Linked DNA regions of Oryctolagus cuniculus. The protein of the gene in region 1 purifies or fractionates together with the protein of each later gene. This does not show direct contact. Links are inferred from orthologs where the notes say so. Each region holds a gene or a part of one and is shown in the gene's direction. Other genes may lie near its edges. The genes, in order: VSX1 and WDR20.

The links.
Region 2: the proteins of VSX1 (region 1) and WDR20 purify together in Homo sapiens (affinity purification with mass spectrometry; 3 studies listed by BioGRID and IntAct, with this or other methods). This does not show direct contact. The link is inferred for Oryctolagus cuniculus from reciprocal best matches to the Homo sapiens genes VSX1 and WDR20.

The regions. Positions count from the first base shown.
Region 1 is NC_091442.1:49,514,706-49,529,468, reverse strand, and holds the start of VSX1 (visual system homeobox 1), read left to right. Parts: upstream 1-7,723; 5' UTR 7,724-8,217; coding exon 8,218-8,644; intron 8,645-11,183; coding exon 11,184-11,262; intron 11,263-11,700; coding exon 11,701-11,824; intron 11,825-12,980; coding exon 12,981-13,161; intron 13,162-14,763. UniProt on the Homo sapiens protein: Binds to the 37-bp core of the locus control region (LCR) of the red/green visual pigment gene cluster. May regulate the activity of the LCR and the cone opsin genes at earlier stages of development. Dispensable in early retinal development.
Region 2 is NC_091451.1:45,401,766-45,416,500, forward strand, and holds the start of WDR20 (WD repeat-containing protein 20), read left to right. Parts: upstream 1-6,423; 5' UTR 6,424-6,580; coding exon 6,581-6,829; intron 6,830-7,511; exon of another isoform or gene 7,512-7,661; intron 7,662-14,735. UniProt on the Homo sapiens protein: Regulator of deubiquitinating complexes. Activates deubiquitinating activity of complexes containing USP12. Anchors at the base of the ubiquitin-contacting loop of USP12 and remotely modulates the catalytic center of the enzyme.

The DNA.
Region 1 (14,763 bases):
CAAACAGGGACTGTGGCCAACCATGGGGAGTGTGACCAAACACTGAGAGTGAGCACTACTGGGAGTGCAACCAACCACAGGGAGTGTGACCACCCATGGTGAGTGTGATCACCACAGAGCATGTGACCAGCATGGGGAGTATGACCAACTGTGGCAAGTGTGACCAACCACAGGGCATGTGACCAACCAGGGGGGTGTGACCAAACATGGAGTATAACCAAACACTGAGAGTGTGAGCAACTACTGGGAGTGTGACAAACCATAGTGTATGTGACCAACCACAGACATGTGGCCACGATGGGGAGTATGACGAGTATCACCAAAAATGGAGGGTGTGAACACCACAAGGAGTTGACCCTTTATGGACAGTATGACCAACCATGGGGAGTGTGACCAACCACAGGGTGTGTGACCAACCAGGGGGTGTCACCAAACAGGGACTGTGGTATACCATGGGAGGTGTGACAAACACTGAGAGTGAGCAACTACTGGAAATGGGACCAACCACATACAGTGTGACCACCCACAGCGAGTGAAACCAACACAGAGCATGTGACCAGCATGGGGAGTATGACCAACCATGGCGATTGCGACCAACCACAGGGTGTGTGACCAACCAGGGTTGTATGACCAAACAGGGACTATGGCCAACCATGGAGAGTGTGACCAACCACAGGGCATGAGACCACCATGGGGATTGTGACCAACCATGGCAAGTGTGACCAACCACAGGCTTGTGACCACCCATGTGGAGTGTGACCAGTCACGGCAAGTATAAACAAACATGGGAAGTGTGACCAACCACGTGGAGAGTGACCAACCATGGGGAGTGTGGACAACCTCAGGGAGTGTGACCAACCATGGAGAGTGTGACCAACCACAGGGCAAGAGACCACCATGAGGATTGTGACCGACCTTGGTGAGTGTGACCAATCACAGGGCATGAGACCATCATGGGGAGTGCAACCAATCATGGCAAGTGTGACCTACCACAGGGCATGTGACCACCATGGGAATATGACCAACCAGGGGGGTGTGACCAAACAAGGGCTGCGGCCTACCATTGGGAGTGTGACCTATCACTGAGAGTGTGAACCACTAGCGGGAGTGTGACCAACCTCAGGGAGTATGACCAACCACAGAGTATGAGACCACCATGGGAAGTCTGAGCAATCACGGGGACAGTGACCAACCATGGCGAGTGTGACCAACCACAGAGCATGTGACCACCCTGGGGAGTGTGACCAACCGTAGTGATGTGACCAACAATGGAGGGTGTGAACACCACAAAGAGTTGACCAATTATGGACAGTATGACCAAGCATGGTGAGTGTGACCAACCACATGGTATATGACCAACCATGGGGAGAATGACCAACCATGGAGAGTGTGACCAACCATGGCGAGTGTGACCAACCACAGGGCATGAGACCACCATGGGGAGTGTGACCAACCACGGCGATGTGACCAACCACAGGGCATGTGACCATGATGGGGAGTGTGACCTACCATGATGAGTGTGACCAACAACAGAGGGTGTGAATACCACAAGGAGTTGATCAATTATGGACAATATGACAAACCATGGGGAGTGTGACCAACCACAGGGTGTGTGACCAACCAGGAGGGTGTCACCAAACATGGACTGTGGTCTACCATGGGGAGTGTTACTAAACACTGAAAGTGTGAGCTCTATTGGGAGTTTGACCAACCACAGGGAGTGTGACCACCCATGGGGATTGTGATGAACCATGGTGAGTGTGTCCAAGCATGGGAATTGTGACCAACCATGGGGAGAATGACCAACCATGTGAAGTGTTGACAACCTCAGGGAGTGTGACCAAGCATGGTGCGTGTGACCACCATGGGGATTGTGACCAACCATGGCGAGTGTTACCAACAACGGAGGTTATAAACACCACAAGGGTTGAACAATCATGGACAGTATGACCAACCATGGGGAGTGTGACCAACCACAAGGGGTGTGACCACCAACGTGGGTGTGACCCACTTAGGAAAGTATGACCAGCCACAGGGAATGTGACCAACCATGAGGGGTGTGACCAACCATAGGGAGCATGACCACCACCAGGAGTTGACCAACCACAGGGAGTGTAACCAAGCATGGGGAGAGTGACCAACCACTGGGAGTGTGACCAACCACAAGGAGTATGACCAACCACGGGGAGTGTGACCAGCCATGGGGAGTGTGACCAACCCCAGGGGAGTGTGACCTACCATGGGGGGTGTGAACAATCACAGGGAATGTAACCAACCACAGGGAGTGTGAACAACTATGGGCAGTGTGAACAACCATGGTCAGTGTGAACAACTATGGTGTGTGTGAAATCTGCCTCAATAGGCAGAAAATGGAGCAGTGAAAGATTAAAACTTTTAGAAGCCTTCACATAAATAAAAATTAAAGACAAAAATAGCACTAAGCACAAACACATGTGAGAGACCTCCCCAGCTTTCTCATCTCCCCATGGTGATGCTGCTGTTTCAAGCCTGATGCTCAGGGTGGGGTCCCAGACTCTCCACTGACAGTGCCGTGCAAAGTAGATGCCAAGGAGACTTTCCTTACTAGGGGTGACACAAGGAGGAAATATGTTGATGGAGGTGACGCACTTCTCATACCTGGCACAGAGGAGGACTCCACTTACAGGGCCACTTGTTTTAGCACTGATATATAATATTTAGCACTCGTGGGGCCGGTGACATGGCTCACTTGGTTAATCCATCTGCAGCGCCGGCATCCCATATGGGCGCTGGGTTCTAGTCCCGGTTGCTCCTCTTCCAGTCCAGCTCTCTGCTGTGGCCCGGGAGGGAAGTGGAAGATGGCCCAAGTGCTTGGCCCCTGCACCCACATGGGAGACCAGGAGGAAGCACCTGGGTCCTGGCTTCGGATCGGCGTGGCTCCGGCTGTAGTGGCCATTTGGGGAGTGAACCAATGGAAGGAAGACCTTTCTCTCTCTCTCTCTCTCTCTCTCTCACTGCCTAACTCTGTCAAATAAATTTAAAAAAAAAAAAATTTAGCACTGGTATATAATACTTTTCAGGAGTATTTTCTCTTTGCTACTGTTCTCTTTGTGGTGCCAAGCTGACTCTTCCCTAGCCTCCTGGCTGGCTGGTGGCAGATTTCCTAGCACTGAGCTTGGGTGTTGCCCAGAGGGCCTCAGAGCATCTGGGGGTGACTGGGTGTTTTTGGGCCCAGGGCATGCTTGCTCAGCAAATGAGGACACACAGTTCACTGGAAGTCCTTGGTTCTAGAATCCAGAGGCATCAGAGCTCCCAGGGGCTTGTAAACAGACATCCCAGGATCCTCCCACTCTGGGGTTCTGGGTCAGTAGGGCCAGATGGGGCCCTGGCCTTGCTGTCCTCACTGGTTCAGAGCTGATACTGCTAGCCCAGGGCCCACACTTTGAGACCCACTGATAAATGGTCAGGGGACCACTTCCAGGAGCCACGACTTGGAAGGTAGACCGTGTGTTTCTAGGGGCTATCAGAAGACACGGCTCTGGACACCTGAGGACATACACAAAAGGACCAAAGGGAGGGGCAGACAAGATGGCCTCAGGAGCACCAAGTTACATGATGTCTAGAACTTTCCAGCTGCGGTAGGGTCATCCGGGAAGGGCCCATGGCTGGGAGCCGCTTGGGCTGGGCTTCAACAGGTAAGGGACTTCTGCTCATACCTGGCACTGTCAGTGTTGTGTTAAAACACGGGCTCCTGCTGTGAAGGGGAGGAGGGGGGTCTCTGTCCTGTTCCTGGGTCTGGGTGGGCTTGGGGCTACTTAGACCAGTCACACGCTGGTGAGCCATACATGTGATGCGACTGCTCTTCCATCACCAGCAAGGAAGGAGCTGGGAGTTGGTGTCACCATGGTGAGGAGCAACAGGGATGTGCTCCAACAGGGACCACGGTGGCTGTGGGACAAGGAGGGAGTGGGGAGAGCATGGAAGAAGTAGGAGGGGCACCAGACAGTGACAGTGTTCCTGGCTGCAAACCACAGAAAACAGGTGCATCCAGCTGACACAGAATCGAAGTCATAATAGCTGTGCGTCGTAAGAAGCCAAGAGCAGTCAGCAATGGCCGTCACCATCAGTAGCTGGAGGTGATCTTGGGATGGAGGGTGGAGAGCTGAGGACAGTTCCCAAGATCCTATTCTGGCCCCTGGGGTGGGGGCGGGGCAGTGCAGACTGGAGAGGAAGCAGCTGGATCCAGCTCTGGGTGGGCTGATTCAGTGCTCCTGGGAGACCCTAGGGGACAAATGGGCAGGAGACCATTGGAGATGGGGACCTGGCTGCAGGAGCAAGTCCTGGGCTGGATATGGACCTCAGGACCTTTGCTGGGCCGTGATGGTTGCACCATGGGTTTCTGTGTGTACGTGTGGTGGTGGTGGGGAGTGGGAGAAGCACCCAGGTTGATGCTGAGTGGGCATTGCAGAAGTCGTGCAGGGCAGGTACTTCGGGGAACCCCAGTGGGAAGTGAGATGGGGACAGGAAGCCTCCCAGGTTGAGAGCTTCAAAGGCAGAGCCTGAGACAGGGTCTGGAGGCACGAGATTTATTGGAGGTGAGGAGGGAAGGAGGTCCCAGGAGAAAGGGAGGCCAGAGATGGGGCGGGGAAAGGGGCTGAGCAAGGCTCGGACTTGTGGCCTGACCCTCGAGGAGAGTGGATTCTGGAGAAATAACTACAGAGCTGTCCCTTATTGAAAGGGGAGGGGTGGTCTCACATGGTACCTCGTATCAGTTGTCATATGTGGGTGTGTGCTTGTGTGTGTATGTGTGTGTTTATGTGTGTATGTGTATTGTGTGGGTGTATGTGTGTTCATGTGTATATGTGTGTGCTATGTGTATGTGTGTGCATGTGTATGTGTTTGTGTGTATGTATGCATACGTGTGTTTATGTGTGCATGTGTATGTGTGTTTTGTGTATATGTATGTTTATGTGTGTGTATGTGTATGTATTATGTGTATGTGTATATGTATGTATGTATGTATGTGTTTACGTGTACATGTGTATGTGTTTTGTGTATATGTGTGTATTGTATGTGTGTGTGTTTTTATGTGTGCATGTGTGTGGTTTTTTTGTATATGTGTGTCTGTGTGTGTGTTCTGGATCAAGGAGTTTTGTCAGTCCAGGGCAATTCTCTCTCCATGAGCGGGCAAGGTGAGCTGCTGGCAGCCCACATTCCAGAAGCTGGGGAAGGTGCCCCCAGGGTCCCTGTCTGTGGGGAGCAAGGGCACCAGGGAAGGAAGCCACGTGGGGCTTGACTGCAGCAAGGAACTGCACCACAGTCCTGCTGGGTGCCTCTGGGAGAAGCAAAGGATGCAGGCTGTTGATAATCCAGCCTGTGTTGGTCTGTGGTCCAGGGCTGCTCACACCTGGTAGTTCTTGGCATCTCAGGCTGGCGGACAAAGTGGACTTAGCCTAGAGAAAGCGGCTGGGCCAGGTGCAGGTTGGGTAGCCAGGCAGGAGATGGGGACGGGGCACAACAGTGCCTGCTACAGAGGCTGTAAGGAGGGCTCAAAACCCAGCCAGAGGCAGAGGAGAATCAGACGGACAGCAAAGCCAGGGACTCCCAAGGTGGCGCTTCTTCCCACCCTGGCGCCCCACGGACTGCTGGCCCCGGCCAGTTTGGCCCATCCAGTCCCAGCCTGGAGCTGTGAAGAGCCCAAACGCACCCAGGCAGGACCGATCCTCGAGAGCCAGTGGCCGGGCTGGAAGCCGGAGGCGCACTCGCGGTTGGGCGATAGAGAGGGCTTGGAAACCTTCCCTGGAAATAATGAGTGGAGAACCCCTTTACTGATTAGTTAAATCCCGGATAATCCTGGCTGATGAAGGCAGAGCCAGACCCCTTAATGGATTTTTAGGGTTCCAAAACGACTTCTTGGGAGTGGCCCCGGGCGATTGGCACGGGGGGTGAGGAGCAGGGAGGCTGGGAGGACCCCATCCTCCCGGCTTCCAAGGCTCAGAGGCGACCCCCAGAAGCGGGAGTACAGGTGGACGCAGCCGCCTGTGAGGCGCCCCGCAGACACGCAGGAGTTGGAGCCCTTCCTCCATCGCTGTGCATACTGAGCGAAGCGCTTGGCACGGCTCTGTACCCCTGGAGATGGGTCCCTGAGCTGATCAGCTGGGGTTAGGGATGGGGTCAGCGCTGGGTCCGGCCGGCGGGAAGCGGTTCTCGCCAGCCAGAGGTACCGTGCGTTCGCCGCCGCCACCCAGCCGGACTGGAATCCAGCCTGCCCTCTACTCGGATCCCCAACGCCCCTAGTGCCTGGTGGGGCTGGAGACGGCGTTAGGCGGGGAACTACGGACGGCCTCAGCGGCCCCCACCCCATTCGCGGTCTCTGCGTCCCCTTTCCACGCATCTCTCGCAGTGCTGCGCTTGTCCCAATTTCTCTTTGAGCGTCCAGTGGGACCAGGTTTATTAGGCTGTTTCTTTCATACGCAAAATGAGTTTGGTAAGATCCTTCGCTGGCCCCAGGCCGGGGTTATCTTGCGGAGCGACCGAGATTGGGATGACCTTGCTCGACCTTTTGTTGTCTGTGCGTCCCTGGCCATCTCCTAGGGGTCCCCAGGCAGCAACTGGGTGCGGAGGAGAGACAGGGGATCCCAGATCCTCGAGCAGCAGACGGTGGCGTGGGCCTCCCGGGCTGCGGACGCGGTGCACGCGTGGGCCAGAGTTCCCTTGAGCGTGGGTCACCTTGGGGCTCCTGTCCCGCCTCTCCGCCCCGGGGCCGGGCTACAGAATGTGTAGAATCGTGGGAGTTTCGCCCAACTGGGACCCCCAGATTCGGCTCTACGAAGGACGACGCCTCAGAGGGGAGCTCTTCGGCAGGGACCGGCGTCCCCAGAGCCTAGTCCGTAAACCCAGAGATAAATTTGGAGGGGGAGGGGAGAGGAATTCCTGGCCGAGCTGAAAACAACGCTGGCGTCTAAAGCCGCTGCCGCCCCCGCCCCCGCCCCCGCCCTGGACAATTACCCCAAAGGAAAGTTATTGTTTTGCTAATCCCAGGAACAGCTTGCCAGAGCAGATTTGGATCTTCCTTTAATAATGGAAAGTTAATGCGTAGCCCCTTGTAATTATCTCGATCGGGAGGCCCGCGTGTAATCCGCTCGTTTAGCTGACGCGCGGCGAGCTGGAGACCGGCTTTGCAAGCTCCGCGCTGCGCGCAGGCAGCCGTGCCGCACCCGGGAGATCCGGAGGGTCCCCCTGGCTCTCTCGGAGACCCCTGGCCGTGGGGACTGCGAGAGACTGCTTCCAGGGCTCTCGGACTGGGCCCAGGGCTCAGAGTCACAGGGATCGGGTGGGCTCAAAGCCCGATCCAGCAAGCGGCTTTACTCACTTGCCTGCTTTGGCGCCAACTCGAACAAAACGCAAACACAACTTTCTTTCAATAATCCTAAAACCTGGCCACGGTTTGTTATCTCCGGTGAGGACTGCGCCCCAGGAGGCACTTTTTAATTCAACTTCCGCCACCACCGTTTAAACGTGTTTATATAAAACGCTGGTACATATATATTTAAATAAAAATAATAATTGCTTATCTGAAATTCTGACTTCACCTGGCCTCTGGCCAGGCACCCTGCTCTGTGATCCACGCCCTTCCCCCAGCGCGTGTGGGTTTTCGACAACTCTCCACCCACCCACTCTAGTGTGGGTTTGGCTGCAGGCAGAGAGCAGGCACGGGTTACTTTTTTTTTTTTTTTTTTTTACTTCTTTCCCCATGGGGATTTTCAGAGGTTCCTGCGGTGAAGTTGTAGGGCGAGCGGGGATCACTTTGGTTGTGGATGGGGGGTGCGATGCGAAGGGGCCCTAGGAGTTCATGGGTCGTGTCCAGTAAGCGTGGAGGATCTGGAAGGAAGGGAGGCTGCGCCTTGGACCCACAGGCAGAAGGAGAGTTGTTTTGTCCCTGCCCACACACACAACCCCCCTACCCCCACCCCCACCCGAGAATAGGGCCGGGGCGGGCAGGGGACAGCTGGGGAGAAGAGGGACTAAGGGAGCGACCGCGGGGCCCGCAGCTGCGGGGGCGGCGACCGAGGGGAGGGGAGGGCCGTCGGCCGCATCCCGTCTCTCGGGGTCCCTAACAGCGACGCGCCCTCGCCCAGCTGATTGGAGTGGGCAGCCTAGCCGTATAAAACGTCCTCCGAGCTGGATCACCAACCCAAAGTGACCCAGAGAGGGTCGAGCTTCGCCTCCTGAGACGACATGACCACCGGCGGCGACGCGATTCCCGACGCGCGCGCCCGGAGTCGGGCGCAGGTGCCGGGTCGGTCCCCCAGCGGCTCGCGCCCACGCGGCTTCGCCATCACCGATCTGCTGGGCTTGGAAGCCGAGCTGCCCGCGCCCGCGGGCCCTGGGCCGGGATCGGGCTGCGAGGGCCCAGCGGCGGCTCCGTGCGCTGGCCCCGCACTCGGCGGCTCCTGCCTGGCGCGCGGGGCGGTCCCGTTGGGGCTGGGCCTCCTCTGTGGTCTGGGTGCACCACCGCCCGCCGCCGCTCCGGCGCCCTACCTGCTGCTGGCCGACGTGCCTTTCCTGCGGCCGGCGGGGCCGGAGACAGCCGCCCCGCAGCTCCCCGGGCGCCGGCCGCCCGCGCCGGGCAACCAGAAACTCAGCGAGAGCGCCTCGACGTCCGGTAACCAGGCCCTGCTTTTCTGCCCCTGCCCCTGATCCCGGTGGCTTCAAGCGCGGTCGCTCTCACTTGCGGTCCCGGAGCGCAGGGAAGTCCGGATCCCAGTGGGAGGCGTAATCGCGCCGCAGCGCCGCGGGCCCCAGGGGGAACCCCAATTCTCCAGAATCTGGTGCCCACAGCACTGCAGGGGCCAGATGGAGCCTTGCGAGGAGATCCTGGTGTCTCGGCCTCTACCTCCGCGCCAGGAGCGAGCGGGGATCGGGAAGGCGGGGGCGGGTCCTGTCTACCAGCTGCACTGGCTGCGGGCTGGCAAAAGCTTTCGGGGCCGGGTGCCCAAGAACTGTCCGCCTCTGGGGTGCTGAAAAGGGACCGCGCGCGGAAGAGAGGACGCTGCCTGGCTGAATGAATGCACTATGGCTAACCACAGCGCTGTGGCTAACCTGCGTTTGGTTCTGGGTGCACCTGTCACCCCCAAATCCAGGCAGAGTATGGGGAAAGAGAAGGAAGCGGTGAAACCCCGTAACTGACAAGGACCAAGAAATGGAGAGGCTTGCGTTGCTGGGGGAAGACGAGGGAGAACTACAAGGAAAATGAGGATCTAGGTACCCACGACTAGAACCTAGAAGGGGCAGCCAGGCAGGCAATCCCAGCAAGAAAGTGCCGCGGGTATCGCCAGCCTGGAAAGAAAGCTAGGCAGTAGGCTGCACTTCAAGAGCCTCTCTGTGACCTGGAGTGACCACAACCCTGGCTCTTTTACTTGTTTCCTTGAAAATGCAGAAACCGATTTCATAGGATGGGTTCTTTTTTCCACAGACACTGATAAGAGAAAAGGAGAAAGGAATTAAATCTTGCTTTGTGGGGACATTTCTGGGAGAGCTGACCTGAAAGACATACCCTGTGACCACTTGTTGCATGCAACTTTGTCTTCAAAGGAAAATAGAAACAAGGGGGATTAATTTAAATGCTATATTTTAAATCCAAGGCATGCAAATATCAGTATCAACACTTTACATGCAATCAATATAAAATGTTTTACTTTGTCCACTGAGTATTCTGTGCTTACAGCAGATCTCAACCTGTTTAGCCACGTTTCACTAATGAGCCAAGTGCTCATTAATATTATGTGGCTAGTTGCCACCAGGTTAGCAGCATAGCATGGAATCCTATGTCCAAGCATTTGGTTTTCTGGTGAGCTGATGTAGAAGGATCTAGTGTTATTTTATTATTTTCATCTTTATTCATCCTTTAAAAACATTTGAAGTGGGACAGCAGGTTAAGCCATTGCTTGTGATACTGGCATCCCACATTGCAGTGTTGGTGGATGTCTAGGCTGCCCTGTTTCCCAACTAGCTTCCTGCTGATGGCTCTGGGAAGAGTCTAAATACTTGGACCCCTGCCCCACCTATGTGGGGTAATGGAATGGAGTTCCTGGCTCCTGGCTTTGGTCTTGCCCAGACCTGGCTGTGGGAGTCATTTGAATGAAATGGCAGATGGAAGCTCTCTCTCTTGCTCTCTATTTCCCCACACCCCCATCGTTCTGCCTTTTGAATAAATAATTATTTTAAAAAACTTGAAGCAATTATACTTTTAAAATTAAAATATATATTGATTTTATTTATTTCAGAAGTAGACACACACACACATGCAGAGCCAGACAGGACTCCCATCTACTAATTCACCCCCCCCCCAAATGTCCACAACAGCTGGACCTGAACAGACTAAAGCCAGGAACCAGGCATTCAATTCAGGTCTCCCACATGAGTGAGAGGGACTTGATTACTTGAGCCATCACCTGCTGCCTCCTACAAATTACACTGACAGGGAGCCAGAGCCAGGACTCAAACCCAGACGTTCCAATGCCCCCACTGGCATTATAATTGCTGAACCAGACACCTGCCTGCAATCATTGTTTATAAACCATGGATCCGACAATACTCTGGTCTTCTTGCCTCTCTTTCCATCTGGACCTTTTGATGTGATGGCCATCAAAAGATGAGGCACAAGTGGAGTGGTTCTCCCAGGGCATCTGGGAACCACCCGACCCTGCCTCCAGGGGTTCTGAACAGGGTGCAGCTCTGTCGCCTTCACCTTCTCTCCCTGTGAGGGGTGTTGGTATGGGGGTTAAGAGGAGGAGAGGGGAGGCACAGGCAAGTGAGTGGATCTAGAGGCTGTGGGGACAGACAATGCAATCAGTGGCTGAGTGGCTTTGGCTGCACACACTCTGGCATTTGAATTGCAGCTTCACCATTCACTGCCTGTGTGATCTCAGGACAGTCACTTAGTATCTCTGTGCTTTGGTTTCCATGTCTGTCAAAACAGGATAACAGCAGCGGGGGGTGGGGGGGGGGTGGGTGGGTAGAGTTTTTATGTTTTATGGAGGACTGACATAAGGTGTGGACGTTGGACTCTAGTGAGTGCTAGCAGTGTGGGTTTGTGTAGGCAGATGCTCATATTCCCAGTAGGATTGTGACTTCAACCCTCACATAAAATCCAGGACACGCAAACAAGCTTCATGGCTCTCTTCTTGTCTTTGTGCGGGCAGATGAGGACAGCCCGTCTGAGGAGAACAGTGACTTGAAGGAGTCCCCCATTCTGGGCAAGAGGAAGAAGCGGCGGCACAGGTACAGGGTGGGCTGTTCTCTCTGGCCACCTTTCCTGGGGACCCCGCACCCGAGGACTCATGGCCCTGGGATATGGCAGCGTCCCTTGTAACTCCTAGCGGGCAGGAGGAAGGGCACAGTATCCACCAGGGGGCGATAAGCCTCCAACTCCCAGGAGGCTACGGAACAATCTTCCCAGCAGGCGATAGCCATGGTTTTGTGCATCTGTAAGATGGGTCTTGTCAAAACGAACGGATGAAATTCATTTAGAAAACACGAAAGAATTGTCTTTGTTTGAAGCAGGCTCTGGTTTCTATGGAGGCTGATGGCTAAGAGTGGGATGTCCAGTACTCAGGATGTGGCTTTTGGGCTTGAGCATCATGGTGATGGTGGGGAGCAGTAGGTGGGAAGCCTGCCTTCCCGGCGTGGACTTGAGTGTGTGCTTCTGACTCTCCACAGGACGGTTTTTAGTGCCTTGCAGCTGGAAGAGCTGGAGAAGGCGTTCAGCGAGGCCCACTACCCTGATGTGTATGCCCGGGAAATGCTGGCCATGAAAACTGAGCTCCCAGAAGATCGAATCCAGGTGTGTATGTGTTTCCCACACAAGCCACAAGGGGGCGTGCTATCCCCCACCTGGGCGAGCGCACCCACAGCCACCCCCCACAGCACAATGCGTAGCATCCTTTAGCCAAAGGCACCATGAGAAGATTGTCCCTGGGATCCTCCTGCGTTTTGTCCTTTTACTGTTATTTACTATTGAATCATTCTTTAGATTTCCACAAGAACGTGCGCTAGAAACTGCGCAGATATATCACTGAGAAATCATGGGACTGTCGTCCTTTCTAGAGAAATCAGCTGTCACGATGTGCTGTCATATGGGATGAATGTATGGGCATGTAGGTGTATCCAGCCCCAAAGGGTGACCTGCACACTCATGCACACATATACAATTGCGTGCACACCCACACTCAGGCACACACACGCACGCACGAGAGACTTTTGTTCTCTGTTTTGCCACAGCTGTCCCTAACTCACTCATTTTTTTTTGTTTGTTTGTTTTGTTTGTTTGTTTTTGACAGGCAGAGTGGACAGTGAGAGAGAGAGACAGAGGGAAAGGTCTTCCTTTGCCGTTGGTTCACCCTCCAATGGCCGCCACGGGCGCGCTGCGGCGGGCGCACCGCGCTGATCCGATGGCAGGAGCCAGGAGCCAGGTGCTTTTCCTGGTCTCCCATGGGGTGCAGGGCCCAAGGACCTGGGCCATCCTCCGCTGCACTCCCTGGCCACAGCAGAGAGCTGGCCTGGAAGAGGGGCAACCGGGACAGAATCCGGCGCCCCGACCGGGACTGGAACCCGGTGTGCCGGCGCCGCTAGGCGGAGGATTAGCCTAGTGAGCCGCGGCGCCGGCTCCCTAACTCACTCATTTTTAAAAGCTGCAGCAAGCCCACAAGATTCATTTTACAAACTGCTCCAAAGAACTTTTCCCCATTAATGAAAACAGCAAACATCCGCAGCCCACGCCTTCACCCAAGGCAGCGAGGAAAGAGAGCTTTGATGTCATCGTGCCCATTCCGGATTGCAGAGAAAGCCCTCCAGCCCCCTGCTGGAGCTAGCAGGGCATGCCTGCCCTGCACGGGTGGGAGGCGGACCCGCTTTAGAACTCAGAGCAGGGACGGTTCGGGTCTGCCAGACCACCCTCCTCACCACCTACTCTCTCTGTGTCCTCTCTTGCCTCCATCCAGGTCTGGTTTCAAAACCGGAGGGCCAAGTGGCGCAAGCGGGAGAAGCGGTGGGGCGGCAGCAGCGTGATGGCCGAGTACGGGCTGTATGGGGCCATGGTGCGTCACTGTATCCCGCTGCCTGACTCCGTGCTCAAGGCGGCTGAGGGCGGTCTGCGCGGGGCCTGCGTGCCCTGGCTCCTGGGTAAGGAGAAGGCCCTGGTGTGTGTGTTTGTGTGCATTTGTGTGTACGTGCATGTATGTGTGAACGTACACGCACACCCAGCACAGCCGCTGGTGAAGCAGAGCAATGTCCATGGACACAAATTCAGGCACAGAACCTTGCCTCTAATGTCTGGTGAGTGATAAGGCCTGCAGTGGCTGAGAGTGCCTGATCATTTAACCTAGACACGTGCAGGCAGTGCGTGGAAAGATCCTGTCCAGCTGTTCACAGCTGGGGAACTTATTCGGAGTGCACCTGCGTGTTGAATGCTGTTAGAATGTGTAGAAACCATGTAATTCCGGGGCACAGGTTATAAGAACAGGGCATTGCTGAGCCAGAGACCTAGAGCCAGGACCCTACCCCTGCCCCTGGTTCTGGTTCTGGTTCCGCATTCGCTGCTTTGTGTCTTCTGGGCTGCAAATCTCCTGGGCAGGTCCAGTTTTTGCTTCCCCCAGTGGCGTTGTAGGTTGGGAAGGAGTAGGTGTCTTTGTCCAGCAAACACATCTGGAATATCTACCCAGCAGACTGGTGCAGGAATTCTGGTGTTAGTACTCAACTGGGCTCTGGCTGGGTCCACACCAAGGAAGAATGAAAGACACAGACAGGAAGCAGTGAAGAGCAGAGGCTGCAATGATAAAGGAAAAGGCAGAGAAAATCCTAGGCACCTAGACAGGCTCCTAGAGGAGGAAGCTGTCTGGCGGGCTTTGAGACAGAGTTTTAGCTTGGTAAATGGTGACTTCTTTCGATTGGCTGGCTAAGATGTCAATCTTGCAAGTAAGCCATCAGCCAGTCATCAGGTTCTTTAGCTGTTGTCAGCTGACTTGTTGCAGAGTTCTGGGCAATGAGCTAGATCTTTGGGCTGCTGGAGCAACCTCCCCCACCATGTCTCACCCTGTTCTCTTATTTTTTTTTTTTAATTATTTTTATTTTTATTTTTTATTTTTTTGACAGGCAGAGTGGACAGTGAGAGAGAGAGACGGAGAGAAAGGTCTTCCTTTGCCATTGGTTCACCCTCCAATGGCCGCCGCAGCCGGCGCGCTGCGGCGGGCGCACCGCGCTGATCCGATGGCAGGAGCCAGGAGCCAGGTGCTTTTCCTGGTCTCCCATGGGGTGCAGGGCCCAAGGACCTGGGCCATCCTCCGCTGCACTCCCTGGCCACAGCAGAGAGCTGGCCTGGAAGAGGGGCAACCGGGACAGAATCCGGCGCCCCGACCGGGACTGGAACCCGGTGTGCCGGCGCCGCTAGGCGGAGGATTAGCCTAGTGAGCTGCGGCGCCGGCCCTGTTCTCTTATTGACAGCAGGGGCCAGTACCTTGCCTGCTTGCCAGACTGTAATCTCTTCTCATAAAGAGACCAGAGAGAGAGAAAATGAGGCAGGAGGCCATGCCCACCCATCTGAAGTAGGGAGCCTGCTGGCAGAGCTGTGGGCACCTAGGAAAGTGCTGAGTCACTGTTATCCAAACAGAGTACCTTTGGTGCCGGCCACTAGCCGGCAGCCCTAATGGTGGTAAACACCACCTACCTGACCCTCCCGTAGGTCCCAGAGATAGGCATCGACAATGACAATTTTAAGGAAGAAATGTA
Region 2 (14,735 bases), on another chromosome or scaffold:
TGCCATAGCTCTGTCTCCAGACTTTTCTAATTTTAAGTTTTCAAAAATCTTTCAATTTTCAAAAAATACATGTTTGCTTCAAACTTAAATTGCTATTCTTTTTTTTTTTTTTAATTAGGATGCCAGCACTGCAGGTGGCAGCTCTACCTGCTACGCCACAGCGCCGGCCCCTAAATTGCTATTCTTAATACTTCAAGTTTAGCTTAAATAAACACATTTTAGATGCCCAGCTAACTCAGTCAGTAGAACATGAGACTTTTAATATATTTACTCTAATATATTTCTCTTTTGAGGCCCAAATTCAAATTGTTTCTCCTCATCCCTAGCTCTAGAATAGTAACTTGAATAAGTCACTTCATTAGTTTCTTTTTTTTTTTTTTTTTTTTTTTTTTTTTTTGACAGGTAGAGTGATAGACAGTGAGAGAGAGACAGAAAGGTCTTCCTTCTGTTGGTTCATTCCCCAAATGGCTGCCACGGCCGGCGCTGCGCTGATCCAAAGCCAGGAGCCAGGTACTTCCTCCCGGTCTCCCATGTGGGTACAAGCACTTGGGCCATCCTCCGCTGCCCTCCCAGGCCACAGCAGAGAGCTGGACTGGAAGAGGAGCAACTGGGACTAGAACCCAGCGCCCATATGGGATGCTGGCACCACAGAGGATTAACCAAGTGAGCCACAGCGCCGGCCACTCATTCGTTTCATTCTTAGTTATCTCCTCTGTAAGAAAGGGATAATGGACCTTTGTTGGAAGGTTGTATTATGAAAATGAAAGTACATGGAAGTTCTTAGCACAATGACCACAGACAGAGTAGGGGCTTACTAAATGTGCTGACTTTGAAGATCTCCAAGACTCTATAAAAGCATTTATATTTCAAGATACATGTGAGGTATTAAAAGTGCAGCATCCACTTAATATGATTACAGAATGGGCAAGTGCTGAGCCATAGTAGGTAAAGCCACCACCTACAGTGCCAGCATCCCATGCGGGCACCGGTTTGAGTGCCAAATGCTCCACTTCCAGTCCAGCTCCCTGCTAGTGTGCCTGGGAAGGCAGCAGAGGATGGCCCAAGTGCTTGGGCCCCTGAATACATATGGGAGACCTGGAAGAAGCTCCTGGCTCCTGGCTTTGGATCAGCCCAGCTCTAGCCATTGCTGCCATTTGGGGAGTGAACCAGCATATGGAAGACCTCTAACTATTCCTTTCAAATAAATAAATAAAATAAATATTTAAAAGATTATAGAAATAAGATACTTTGCACAACATGAATTTGTATTTAAAAACATAACTGCTGGTGCCAAGGCTTACTTGGCTAATCCTCCGTCTGCGGTGCCGGCACCCCGGGTTCTAGTCCCGGTCGGGGCGCCGATTCTGTCCCGGTTGCTCCTCTTCCAGTCCAGCTCTCTGCTGTGGCCTGGGAAGGCAGTGGAAGATGGCCCAAGTGCTTGGGCCCTGCACCCCCATGGGAAACCAGGAGGAAGCATCTGGCTCCTGGCTTCGGATTGGTGCAGCGCGCCAGCTGCAGTGCGCTGGCTGTAGTGGCAATTTGGGGGGTGAACCTATGGAAAAGGAAGACCTTTCTCTCTGTCTCTTTCTAACTGTGCCTGCCAAAAACAAAACAAAACATAACTGATACAGCAGGTTAAACCACTGCCTGCAATGCTGGAATCCTAGAGTGCCAGTTGAAGTCCCAGCTGTTTCATTTCCAATCCAACTCCCTGCTAATGCACCTGGGAAAGCAACAGACGATGGTTCAAGTGCTTGGGCTCCTGCCACATATGTGGGAGACCTGAACGGAGTTCCAGGTTCCTGTCTTTGGCCTGGTCATCTAGGGAGTGAATCAGCAGACAGAAGATCTGTTTTTTTCTCTGTGTTCTACTACTCTGCCTTTCAAACAGATAAATCTGAAAAAAAAAAAAAAATTAGCAATCCCAATGGTGTATCAATTTTAACATTGTACAAAGTAGGAATGCTATATTAGGGACAGTATATTATATAATGTCTTCCAAATTTCTTTTCAAATCCCATAATGGTTGTACAATAAATAGATCTGTAATAATAGAATAAGCTTGTCCAACAAGATAAATCTAAAATTGGTTACTTTACTTACTGAGTCAGCAAGTATTTCAAATGTGGTTCTTAAGGATACCCATTTATGCCTATTTTCTTTCTCAGGGTTACTGTAGCAAAACTTTCCTCAAAGTTAAAAGTTTTGAGTATCTTACTGGATTACTTTGAATCTGAAAAAGGTAATTTTGGCCTGAAATATCCATATTGTTGCAAAAAAATTAAAAAAAAAAAAAAAGCAGGATGCTTCAGGTTATCAGTAAATCGTCCTACTCTTCTGGCCAGGCTCTTGGACTGCCCCAGTGTCCAGTCCTCAGTCCTGCTTCTTATCCTCACTCACTCTTCGGCTGACAGCAACCAGGCCTTAAATACCACCTATCTGCTGATGAGTGCCAAATACCCGTCAGCAGCTCTGAACTCTCGAGACTTGCTTCTCCAACAGCCTCCTGGACATTTCCTCCGAATGCCTGATACTTCATATCCAGTGTGTTCAAGCTGAATTCTCGACCATCCCCAGCCTCCGTTATCTGAGTTAATGGCTTTTCCATCCTCTAGCTGCTTATGTCTACATTATTTCTGACTTTCTCATTTGTCCCAAAAGCCACATCCAGTCTGCTGGCAAATCCTAGTGGCTTTATCTTCAGAGTATGTCTAAGATTCATTAATCTCTCTCTCTCTTTTTTTTTTTTTTTAATATTTATTTATTTATTTGAAAGAGTTACACAGAGAGAGAAGGAGAGGCAGAGAGAGAGAGAGGTCTTCCATCTGCAACAGCCGGAGCTACACTGATCCAAAGCCAGGAGCCAGGAGCTTCTTCTGGGTCTCCCACATGGATGCAGGGGCCCATGATTTGGGCCATCTTCTACTGCTTTCCCAGGCCATAGCAGAGAGCTGGAAAGGAAGTAGAGCAGCTAGGACTCGAACAGCGCCCACATAGGATGCCAGCACTGTAGGCGGCGGCTTAACCCACTACGCCACAGTGCCAGCCCCTCCTTGGTCTATTCTTTTCTTAGCTTTTCCAATGGCATACTTCCTTACTTCTTTGAAGTTTTTGATGAAATGTCACTTTCTGGGGTGGAATTTGGTGCATTAAGTTGCTGCGTGAGATCCTTGCATCCTGTATCAGAGTGCCTGGTTCAAGTCCTAGCTCTGCTGATTCCAGCTTCCTTGTAATTTGGACTCTGGGAGGCAGCAGAAGATGGGTCAAGTACTTGGATCCCTGCTGCCCATGTGGCAAGCCAGGACTGTGTTTCAGGTTGTTACGGGTATCTGGGGAGCAAACCAGCTGATAGAGATCTGTTTGCCTCTGTGCAATAAAACTAAAAAAAAAATCAAAAAACAAAAAACTAAGCTATGAAGGAAAAAAGGAAGAAGGGACAAAGTCACAAAGTTAAGAGTGATAGCAGAACAGTATGACTAGAATAAAGATTTAGGCAACCTTTAAAGTACAGGCTGCTGGTGCATGACTTAAAAAACACAGATACTGGGGCCAGTGCTGTGGCAGAGCCGGTTAAGCTGCCACCTGCGATGCTGGCATCCCATATGGGAGCCAGTTTCAGTCCCAGCTGCTCCACTTCCAATTCAGCTTCCCGCTAATGCACCTGGGAAAGCAGAAGATGGGCCAAGTGCTTGAGTTCCTGTCACCCACATCAGAGATCTGGATAAAGCTCCTGGCTTCAGCCTGGCCCAGCCCCAGTTGTTGTAGCCATTTGTGGAGTGAACCAGTGAACAGAGGCTCTGTCTCTCCCTCTTTCTATAACTTTCAAAAAAATAAATAAATAAATTAAAAAAAAATGCAGATACTACAAGTCATGAAATGTTTTTGGACCAGAGAATGTAATGTCTAAAGCACTGTTTTAAGAGAACTGATTTGGTAGTTGAGAGAACAAATGGACATTAAGGAAATACTTATGAAATTACTATAATGATTCAAGTTTGAAATGGAAAAGGAACTGATAAGTTTAGAGACTGATGAATTTGAAGTGCAGCTTCATTTAAAAACATCCGGGTTGAAAATGAAAATCAGGGGCCAGTGCCATGGGGCAGCGGGTTAAGCTAAACCTGAAGTGCTGGCATCCTGGCTTGATTGCTCTGCTCCCAATCCAGCTCCCAGACAATGCACCTGGAAAGCAGCAGAAGACGTCCATGTGCTTGGGCCCCTGCACCTAGTGGGAGACCTGGAGAAGTTCTGGGCTTCTGGCTCTGGTGTGGCACAGTCCTGGCCGCTGCAGCCATTTGAGGAGTGAACCAGCGAATGGAATCTCTCCTCCTCTCTAACTCAGACTTTCAAATAAACAAATCTATCTTTTAAAAAAGAAAAGAAAAAAAAATGGAAATCAGAAATGAACTTTAGGATGGACCCAGCTACGAAGATTTGGGCTTTACTGAATCCTTGAGTGTGTATGCGTGTGGAGGAAACTAAAAGTACTAAAACAGAAATTATTCATCTGTATGGATGAGAAAAATGAACAGCCCACTATTACTATGATCACAACAGAAAATGCTGACTATATAAAATAAAGCCTTGATAGAACGCTTTAGTTATACTGCTATTAGGGATAACAGAATGGTGCAGTTAATCGAGGATTTAAAAAGTTTTTGTTTTGTTTGCTGAGGTTTTTCTCCCACCAAAAAAAAAAAAAATGTGTTATTGTACTTCTCCCCCTTGCTAACTAGGAAACAGCGTTTTTTTATTCAGGATGTCATGATCCCTCAAGATGACCAATTATATGTGTACAATTTTTATGTAAAACAACTCAGTTACCAGAGATTGGGGCAAACTCATGCTAGGCACAGAATACATCTTAAAATAGAGTTCTGAGCCCTGAGTTTCAGGGAAAGGCAAAAGACATCAGAACAATTCTATCAAAAATGTTTAAGTATTTCAGATACCTGTTAGCCCGGCAGGATTTCAGCGCTTTGAAAGGCTCAGCAGGTTAGGTCAGCCGCACTGTTCCATCACGGGGGTGGGGGTGGGGTGGGGCTGGCGGCTCTGACACTCCTCACCCCCCTCCCCAGGGTGAACCCCGGCTGGCGGCTCTGACACCCCCCCCCCCAGGGTGAACCCCCGGCTGGCAGCTCTGACACTCCTCCCCCTCTCCAGGGGTGAACCCCGGCTGGCGGCTCTGACACTCCTCCCCCTCCCCAGGGTGAACCCCCGGCTGGCGGCTCTGACACCCTCCCCCCTCCCCAGGGTGAACCCCGGCTGGCGGCTCTGACTCCCCCTCCCCAGGGTGAACCCCGGCTGGCGGCTCTGACTCCCCCCTCCCCAGGGGTGAACCCCGGCTGGCGGCTCTGACACTCCTCTCCCCCCTCCCCAGGGTGAACCCCGGCTGGCGGCTCTGACACCCTCCCCAGGGATGAACCCCCGGCTGGCGGCTCTGACTCCCCCCTCCCCAGGGTGAACCCCGGCTGGCGGCTCTGACTCCCCCCTCCCCAGGGTGAACCCCCGGCTGGCGGCTCTGACTCCCCCCTCCCCAGGGTGAACCCCGGCTGGCGGCTCTGACTCCCCCCTCCCCAGGGTGAACCCCGGCTGGCGGCTCTGACACTACCCCCTCCCCAGGGTGAACCCCGGCTGGCGGCTCTGACTCCCCCCTCCCCAGGGTGAACCCCGGCTGGCGGCTCTGACTCCCCCCCAGGGGGAACCCCCTTCCTTGGTGACCCCCCGACGACGTCAGCACGCAGGAACTGGTCATTCTCGGTGCGGCAAGCACTGGCTCTGCCCCGGAATGCCATCAGAACGTCACCCTAGAAGCGCGTTAGCGCACGCCAGCGGCTGTCCGCGGTCACCGCGACCCTCGCACACCTGGACTTCGCGGGTCCGCGTGGGGCATTTCTAAACTCAATTCCGCTCATCTCGTTGAGGGCGCCTAAGCAGCTACGAAGCAACAGGAATGATCCGGCTCCCCGCGCTGCCCCGCGCGCCTCACGCCTCAGACGGCCAGTCCACACACACCGTCCTCCCCCGCACGACTCCGCCGCAGGGGCTCCGGGCCGCGGCACGGGCCGGTCGCGAGGGTCCTCCGGGCCCGCGGGGCGGGACAGCCCCCAGCCCGCGGCGAGAGCGCCACCCCCGCCGCCCGCGGCTTCCTCACGAGCCGACCCCTCGGGGCGCGGCGCCCTCCCCTCAGCGCCGCAGGGCCGGAAGCAGCCGAGGAGGCCGCCCTCACTCACTCCCGCCGCGGCTCTCCCTTACCGGCGCTCCCGCGGCACCCGCAGCCCCGCCAGCGCCTCGGCACCCCGAGCCCGCGACCCCAGGACGCAGCCGCGGCGCCGCGAGACGACGCCCGGGGGAGGAGCCGGCGCACGCCCCGCCGCGTGGAGCCGCCGGGGCAGCGCGCGTGCGCAGTCGGGCCGTAAACAAGCCCGCCCCGTCCCCTCGGCCCGCCTCCGTGGGGCTGGCCCGCGGGTGGGCGGGGCCAGAGGGGAGAGGCGGGGGGAGGAGAGCGAACGCCGGGGACGGCGCCTGCGCGGTGGGCGTGATCCGGGCACTTAGGGCAGGATGAACGCTGCTTTCCAAGATGGCGACGGAGGGAGGAGGGAAGGAGATGAACGAGATTAAGACCCAATTCACCACCCGGGAAGGTCTGTACAAGCTGCTGCCGCACTCGGAGTACAGCCGGCCCAACCGGGTGCCCTTCAACTCGCAGGGATCCAACCCTGTGCGCGTCTCCTTCGTAAACCTCAACGACCAGTCTGGCAACGGCGACCGCCTCTGCTTCAATGTGGGCCGGGAGCTCTACTTCTATATCTACAAGGGGGTCCGCAAGGTACCGACCCGGGCGTCACCGGGGCCCGCCGGCGGCGTGGGCGGAGGCCGGGGGCAGGGCGGTGACAGCGGGGCCGGGGTGACCGGCAGGGGTGGCCGTCGCTCTTACTTTGGAGTGGGCCGGCAACTCCGCTGAGGGACTCCCGAGGAAAGGGGGCTCGGGAGTGGGCAGGGTGGTGGCGTCGGCGCTCCGAGGGCGTGGGGGCCGGGGGCCGGCGCCGGGCGTGCGGGGTTCCGGCTGGGAGGCCTGGGAGCCGGCCGCCTCGGCTCCGGCGGGGTCCGCCGGGCGCTGACACGGCCAGGAGCGGGCCTGCGGGGCGAGGTGGCCGGCCCGCCCGCCTGGCTTCCCCGGAGGGGTGGGAGTCCCGCCGGGGCTCGGGGAGGGGTCTGTCAGCCTGGAGCGGGTCGGAAAGGACCTTCTGGGCACGCAGGGCTGCTCCACCTGCGGCCGCACTGACACTTCCCGACCGCCGTTTCCAAAAACGTCCGCGGAGCTCGGCTGTCACCGCCCCGCCCCGGGCGGCCTCCCGGCCGATTGCTGGGGAGGGGTCGTCCTGCCCCTCGTGGGGTGGGCTGGGCCGAGCGCCGCGGTTGCGGGCTGGAATCGGTGTTCTCGGTGGCCGGAGCTGGTGCAGCGGGGCTCTGTGTGAGCCTGCCCGGATTAGCCTGGTCCAACAAGTCGGACTGTGTCCCGCACGGGCAGGGAGGTGCCTGAAAGCTGCTGTGAAGGACCCGTCTCCTGGGGCGGCTCAGCAGGGACTCTGGAGTCTGTGATCTTCCTTTACAGCGATCTCTTTAAGAGCAGCGATTTGCGAGGGCTTTTCTTTCTCTGTGTGAGTAACTGTCCTCCCTGAGAGGTGGCCTTCGACTTGGCTCCTGGCGGGGCGAGGAGACCGTGGTAAAGCACCGTTTGTACACGTGCAGTGAGTGTGGAAACGGCGCCTGCCACAGGCACGAGCGGACGGGCCCTGTGATTTCACAGACCCGGACCCAGGGTCGTGTTTCTTCCTGCTTACCGGGGCTGGGAAGCTGACAGCCCTGTCTAAATGGAGCAGGTTGTCCCTTCCCTTGGGGCGAGCCTTTGCTAGTGCACTGCTGGGTTTGACGGTGGGGTATGCGGTCCCCCTCCGCTTTCGGCCGGAAGTCTGAGGTGTGGTAGCCCAAGTTTTCCTCCTGTTCTCAACATTGTCACCAACTTAGCTTGTCGGGTGACCTTGGTAAGTTACTTAGTTTCTACTGCCCCTCTTTAAAAAGGAACTATTGCAGTGTGTGTGTGTTATAATTAATAATAAGCTCACTGCAATGAGCTCGAGAGCCCTGAAACACTAGCAGATGTAAGCTATAGTTAAACAGGCGTGAAGAGTGATGTCCAACAGGAAGCTGCCATCTTGACATCCATGCTAGGACTGCAAGGATCAGTGCTTTCTCTGGAGATAAATTAAGGATTTTAGGTTATTAACAGCTGTATTTATATGAAAGGGCGATGTGCTTAAAACCAAGTTCATTGACACTAGCAGTGCTAGTGCAGACATTATTTGAAAAGAAATTTCTTTGAAAGATTAGTATTGATGAAGGATTTTAATGGCAAACCTTATCTGGATCTGGTATCCCTGGATGGCACCATAATAACAGGTCTTCACACCTGAAATTATCGTTATATTAGTGCTCCTTTTTTAAATTGGGACACTCTTCACTGAAGGGTGAAACTAAGAGAGCTTTTCAAAGCTTCAAAGGAATTATTTTAAACAAGTTATTTTTAGTAACTTCTAATACAAAACCCCAGACAAATCTGAAATACATAAGTTGCCCTCATATGCATAGTTTGAGCACTTTACCTGTTTTTTTTTTTTTTTTTTGTAAATTCTTACTTTTATGTGGGAGGTGGGAGTAACTTTTTTGAAAAAAAATTTATTTATTTATTTGAAAGAGTTACTGACAAAGAGAGCACAAAGAGAGGGAGAGAGAAAGAGAGAGAGGTCCTCCATCTGCTGGTTCATTCCCCACATGGCTGCAGTGGCCAGGGCTGGGCCAGGCTGAAGCTGGGAGTCTGGAGCTTCTTCCCGGTTTCCTACTTGAGTGCAGCGGTCTAAGCACTTGGGCCATCTTCCACTGCTTTCCCAGGCCATCAGCAGGGAGTTGGATTGGAAAGTGGAGCAGCCGGGACTTGAACCAATGATGGTGGTGCTGTAGGCTGAGGCTTAACCTACTACGCCACTGTGCCGACTCCTAAGTGATAGTAACGTACAGATGCTTTTCCATTGTTTGGCAGACATTTCAACTCTTCTAGCCATTGTAATTTTAAAGTTTTTGTTTTCCATGTAAGTGATTGATTTTGTGACTCTAATTTCCAATTTTTATTTATTTATTTATTTATTTTTGACAGGCAGAGTGGACAGTGAGAGAGAGAGACAGAGAGAAAGGTCTTCCTTTGCCGCTGGTTCACCCTCCAATGGCTGCTGCGGCCGGCGCACCGCGCTGATCCGATGGCAGGAGCCAGGTATTTATCCTGGTCTCCCATGGGGTGCAGGGCCCAAGCACTTGGGCCATCCTCCACTGCACTCCCGGGCCACAGCAGAGAGCTGGCCTGGAAGAGGGGCAACCAGGACAGAATCCGGCGCCCCGACCGGGACTAGAAGCCGGTGTGCTGGCGCCGCAAGGCGGAGGATTAGCCTAGTGAGCCGCAGCGCCGGCCAATTTCCAATTTTTAAATACAACAAATAATTCATTTTTTTTTTCAAGATTTATTTATTTATTTGAAAGGCAGAGTTACAGAGAGACAGAGGCAGAGAGAGAGAGAGAAAGAGAGGTCGTTCATCCACTGATTCACTCCCGAGATGGCCGCAATGGCTGGAGCTGCACCACTCTGAAGGCAGGAGCCAGGAGCTTCTTCCCAGTCTCCCACATGGGTGCAGGGGCCCAAGGACTTGGGCCATCTTCTACTGCTTTTCCAGGCCAGAGCTGGATTGGAAATGGAGCAGCCAGGACTAGAACCGGCACTCACATGGGATGCCAACACAGTAGGCGGCAACTTTACCCTCTACACCACAGCACCGGCCCCAAATAATTCATTTTTTAAAGAGTTGTTTGTTTATTTGAAAAGCAGAGTTACATAGAGGGAGAGAGGCAGAGGCAGAGAGAGAAGGAAGTCCTCCATCTGCTGGTCCACTACCCAAATGACCCTAATGGCCAGGGCAGGGCCAGACCAGAGCCAGGAGCTGTGTCTGGATCTCCCGCATGTGCTCAGGGGAGATCTTGGGCCATCTTCTGCTCTTTCCCAGGTGCGTTGGCAGGAGTGGATCGGAAATGGAACGGCTTGAACTTGGCACCCAAATGGGATGCTTGCACTGCAGGTGTCAGATTAGCCCACATTGCCACAGCACTGGCCCAAATAATTTATTCTTAATTAGAAAGCCAAAATTTATTTTTGAGAGTTAATAGTCATAAATGTATTTTTGACAGTTGGCCATTTCAACTTTTTAAGTTATTTTCTTCAAGGTATATAATTTTATAACAATTATTGGGATCCTTCAGAAGGTCTAATTTGGATGAGTAAATGTAACTTAAATCCACATGGAAGGTGAATGGAAAATGGATCTTTAAAGAACTTAAATCTTGAGCTGTGCACTATATGCTGATATATGCTGTGGCCCGGGAGTGCAGTGGAGGATGGCCCAAGTGCTTGGGCCCTGCACCCCATGGGAGACCAGGATAAGTACCTGGCTCCTGCCATCAGATCAGCGCGGTGCGCCGGTCACAACAGCCATTGGAGGGTGAACCAGCGGCAAAGGAAGACCTTTCTCTCTGTCTCTCTCTCTCACTATCTACTCTGCCTGTCAAAAAAACAAAAACAAAAACAAAAAAGAAGCATGGAGTCCTGGGGAGAAGGCATAGATGAGGGAGTAGTCTGACACCTACCCTGAAGAATACAGTATTGTCCCATTTATTTGTCTGATTTGTTAGAGAGACAGAAAACTCCCCATCTGCTGGTGTACTCCCCAAATGCCTGCAACAGCCTGGGCTGGGAACAAAATCCAGGCCTCCCGTGTCTGTGACAGGGAGCTGCCTTCCAGTATCTGCGAGGCAGAGAGCTGGGGTTGGGATGGGACTGGGCTTCAGGTGCAGCAGCTCCAGTGCTGGATGCCACACCCCAGCTGGCATCTCAGCTGCTACGCCGAGCCCCTGCCTGTAGCACTGTTAGGATGTTGATAGGGCTTGTCGAGAACTAGAACAGACATTAGAGTTTAAGTAGTTTCACCTTTTTCAGAGAAAACTAAGGCTTTTGAGGGGATGCAAAGTTGTATCATAATTTTTTTTCCCATAGTAAGGAAAATGAAGTACACTGAGGTTTTGTTTTGTTTTTAAGATTGTTTTATTTGAAAGGCAGAGTTACGGAGAGAGAGATCGACCAATCTTCGACCCGCCGCTTCACTTCCAGAGTGATTGCAACAACTGGGGCTGATACAGGCTGAAGCCAGGAGCCTGGAATTCCATCTGCGTCTCCCACATGGGTGGCAGGGGCCCAGACATTTGGACAATGGTCCACTGATTAACCAGGTGCATTAACAGGGAGCTGGATTGGAAGTAGAGCAGCCGGGACTAGAACCAGCGCTCATGGGATGCTGTCATCACAGGCAGCAGCCTAACCCACTCCACCACAATGCTGGCGCCTCAACTGATTATAAGGAAGAAACAGTGGCTGGCGCCGCGGCTCACTAGGCTAATCCTCCGCCTTGCGGCGCCAGCACACCGGGTTCTAGTCCCGGTCAGGGCGCCGGATTCTGTCCCGGTTGCCCCTCTTCCAGGCCAGCTCACTGCTGTGGCCCGGGAGTGCAGTGGAGGATGGCCCAGGTGCTTGGGCCCTGCACCCCATGGGAGACCAGGAGAAGTACCTGGCTCCTGGCTCCTGCCATCAGATCAGCGCGGTGCGCCGGCCGCAGCGCGCCGGCCGCGGTGGCCATTGGAGGGTGAACCAACGGCAAAGGAAGACCTTTCTCTCTGTCTGTCTCTCTCACTGTCCACTCTGCCTGTCAAAAAATAAATAAATAAATTTTAAAAAAAATTAAAAAAAAAAAAAAAGGAAGAAACGGATCTCGCTTTTTGGTCACAGAGATACCTGATAAGCAAAGCACTTCAAAATTTACCTCAGCGTTTTGCCGCACTTTATTTCACTGCATCGTCGTGGCAGTCCTGGGCGGTGGATGAAAGCGTCTGCCAAATCACTGGGTCTGGGCCTGCCAGGGCGACCGCAGGCGGGACCCAAGGGCCAGGGGATCTGTAGCAGGCTGATTTCTTTCTCCTTTCTTCCTTTTCCTTTTCCTTTTCCTTTTCCTTTTCCTTTTCCTTTTCCTTTTCCTTTTCCTTTTCCTTTTCCTTTTCCTTTTCCTCTCCTCTCCTCTCCTCTCCTCTCCTCTCCTCTCCTCTCCTTTTTAGGATTTATTTATTTATTTGAAAGGTAGAGTTACAGAGAGAGAAATATTTTCTATCTGCTGATTCACTCCCCAGATTGTCATAGCAACTGGGGCTTCTCGCATGGGTGTAGGAACCCAGTCGTTGGGCCATCCTCTGCTGCCTTCCCAGGCACATCAGCAGGGAGCTGAGTGCGGAGCAGAGCAACAGGGACTCAAACCAGTGATCCTGTGCCAGTGCTGGAGGTGGGAGCTTAACCAGTTGTGCCACAACACCCTCCCCATGGCAGGCTAAGTTTTAAGTTGATTATTTTAGTGTGGCCTGTGAATGCTGTTATAAATATCCACATGGCCTTTGGCAGAAGAAAAGATTCCCCACGCCTGTTTTTGGATAGAGATGCTAAAGGTAGCTGGGTTTATAGGAACAATCTCATTTTATGGAGATCTGTTTTTACATAAATGGGAATGTTCCCCTTTCAGATTTCAGCTTAACCATCACTTCTTCAGCAAATCCTTCTTTGAATTCCCAAGATAGGTCAGTTTTCCCCTTTTACAAGTTCTCAGAGCAGCCTGTACTTTGCTTTCCTAGCACTTTTCCCAATTTGTAAATTCTCTGTGTGATAATCTATCTCTTCTATAAACAAAGCCCTCTTTTCTTAAAAAAAAAAAAAAGATTTATTTATTCAAAAGGCAGAGTTACACAGAGGCAGAGAGAAAGAGGTCTTCCATCCATTGGTTCACTCCCCAAACGGCCAGAGCTGGGCGGATCGGAAGCCAGGAGCTTCTTCCAGGCCTCCCACGCAGAGGACGTGGGCCAACTTCTACTGCTTTCCCAGGCCATAGCAGAGAGCTGGATCATAAGTGGAACGGCTGGGACTCAAACTAGCACCCAGATGGGATACCTGCACTGCAGGTGGCAGCTTTACCTGCTATGCCACAGTGTCAGCCCCACAAAGTGCCCACCCCTTTTTTTTTTAAAATAGTTCTCTCTCTTTCTCTTTTGGTAAAGATTTTATTTATTTGAAAGATAGAGAGAGAGAGAGGTGTGTCTTCCATCCCCTGGTTTACTCCCCAAATGGCCACAACTGCCTGAGCTGAGCCAATCTGAAGCCAGGAGCCAGGACCCAGTGGGATGCCAGTGCTGCAGGCCAGGGTTTTAACCATTGCACCACAGCACCCCCCCCCCCCCCCCCCACACACACACACAAAGCCCTCTTAAAATAAGGACGGTGTCTTTCCTGCTGTCTGCTTTCCCAGTGCTCAGTGGAGTTGAGCCCTTACATGTGTTGAGTGAATGATTAAATAAAACCATCTCTCCCAAACTTTAGAAAGATATTCAGAAGCTAAAAAGCCTTTTCAATTTTGAGCACAAAAGTAACGTGGGTGGTTTTTAGTAGCTCATTTTTTTTTTTAAATTAAAGATGTATTTATTTATTTGAAAGAGTTACACAGAGAGAGGAAGAGATGGGTGGGGGTTGGAGGGAGATCTTCCATCTACTGGTTCACTTCCCAAATGGCTACAATGGCTGAGGCTGGACCAGGCTGAATCCAGGAGCCCAAAGCTGCTTCTGGATCTCCTGCGTGGATACAGGACCTAAGCACTTGAGCCATCCTCCGTTGCTTTCCCAGCAGATCAACAGAGAGCTGGATCGGAAGTGGAGCTGGAGGGTTCTCCAACTAGCTCCTGCCTGTTTGGGATGCTAATGTTGCAGGTGGCAGATGTCACAGGCAGCAGCCATACCTGCTACACCATGCCAGCCTCAGTTGCTTGTATCTTTTTAAATCATTTAGAACTACTGTTGGTAGATAACAGATTTAGCTTTCTTTGTTTTTTATTTATTTATTATTATTATTTTTTTTTTGCCAGGCAGAGTTAGACAGTGAGAGAGAGAGCCAGATAGAAAGGTCTTCCTTCCTTTGGTTCACTCCTCTAATGGCCGCTACGGCCAGCGCTACGCAGATCCGAAGCCAGGAGCCGGGTACTTCCTCTCGGTCTCCCATGCGGGTGCAGGGACCCAAGCACTTGGGCCATCCTCCGCTGCCTTCCCGGGCCACAGCAGAGAGCTGGACTGGAAGAGGAGCAACCAGGACAGAATCTGGTGCCCCAACTGGGACTAGAACCTGGGGTGCTGGTGCCGCAGGCGGAGGATTAGCCAAGTGAGCCACAGCGCTGGCCCAAATTTAGCTTTCTTAAAGTTGGGAAATTGTGTAGCAAGGGACAATGAAGTAGGGCTGGAGCCGTGGTGAAGTAGGTTAATCCTCTGCCTGCGGCACTGGCATCCCATATACGTGCCTATTCTAGTCCCGGCTGTTCCTCTTTGATCCAGCTCTCTGCTAATGGCCAGGGACAGCAGTGGAAGATGGCCCAAGTGCTTGGGCCCCTGCACCCACGCCTGAAAGAGGCTTCTGGCTCCTGGCTTCCGATCAACTCAGCTCCGGCCATTGTGGCCGTTTGGGGAGTGAACCAACGGATGGAAGACCTCTCTCTCTCTGTCTCTCCCT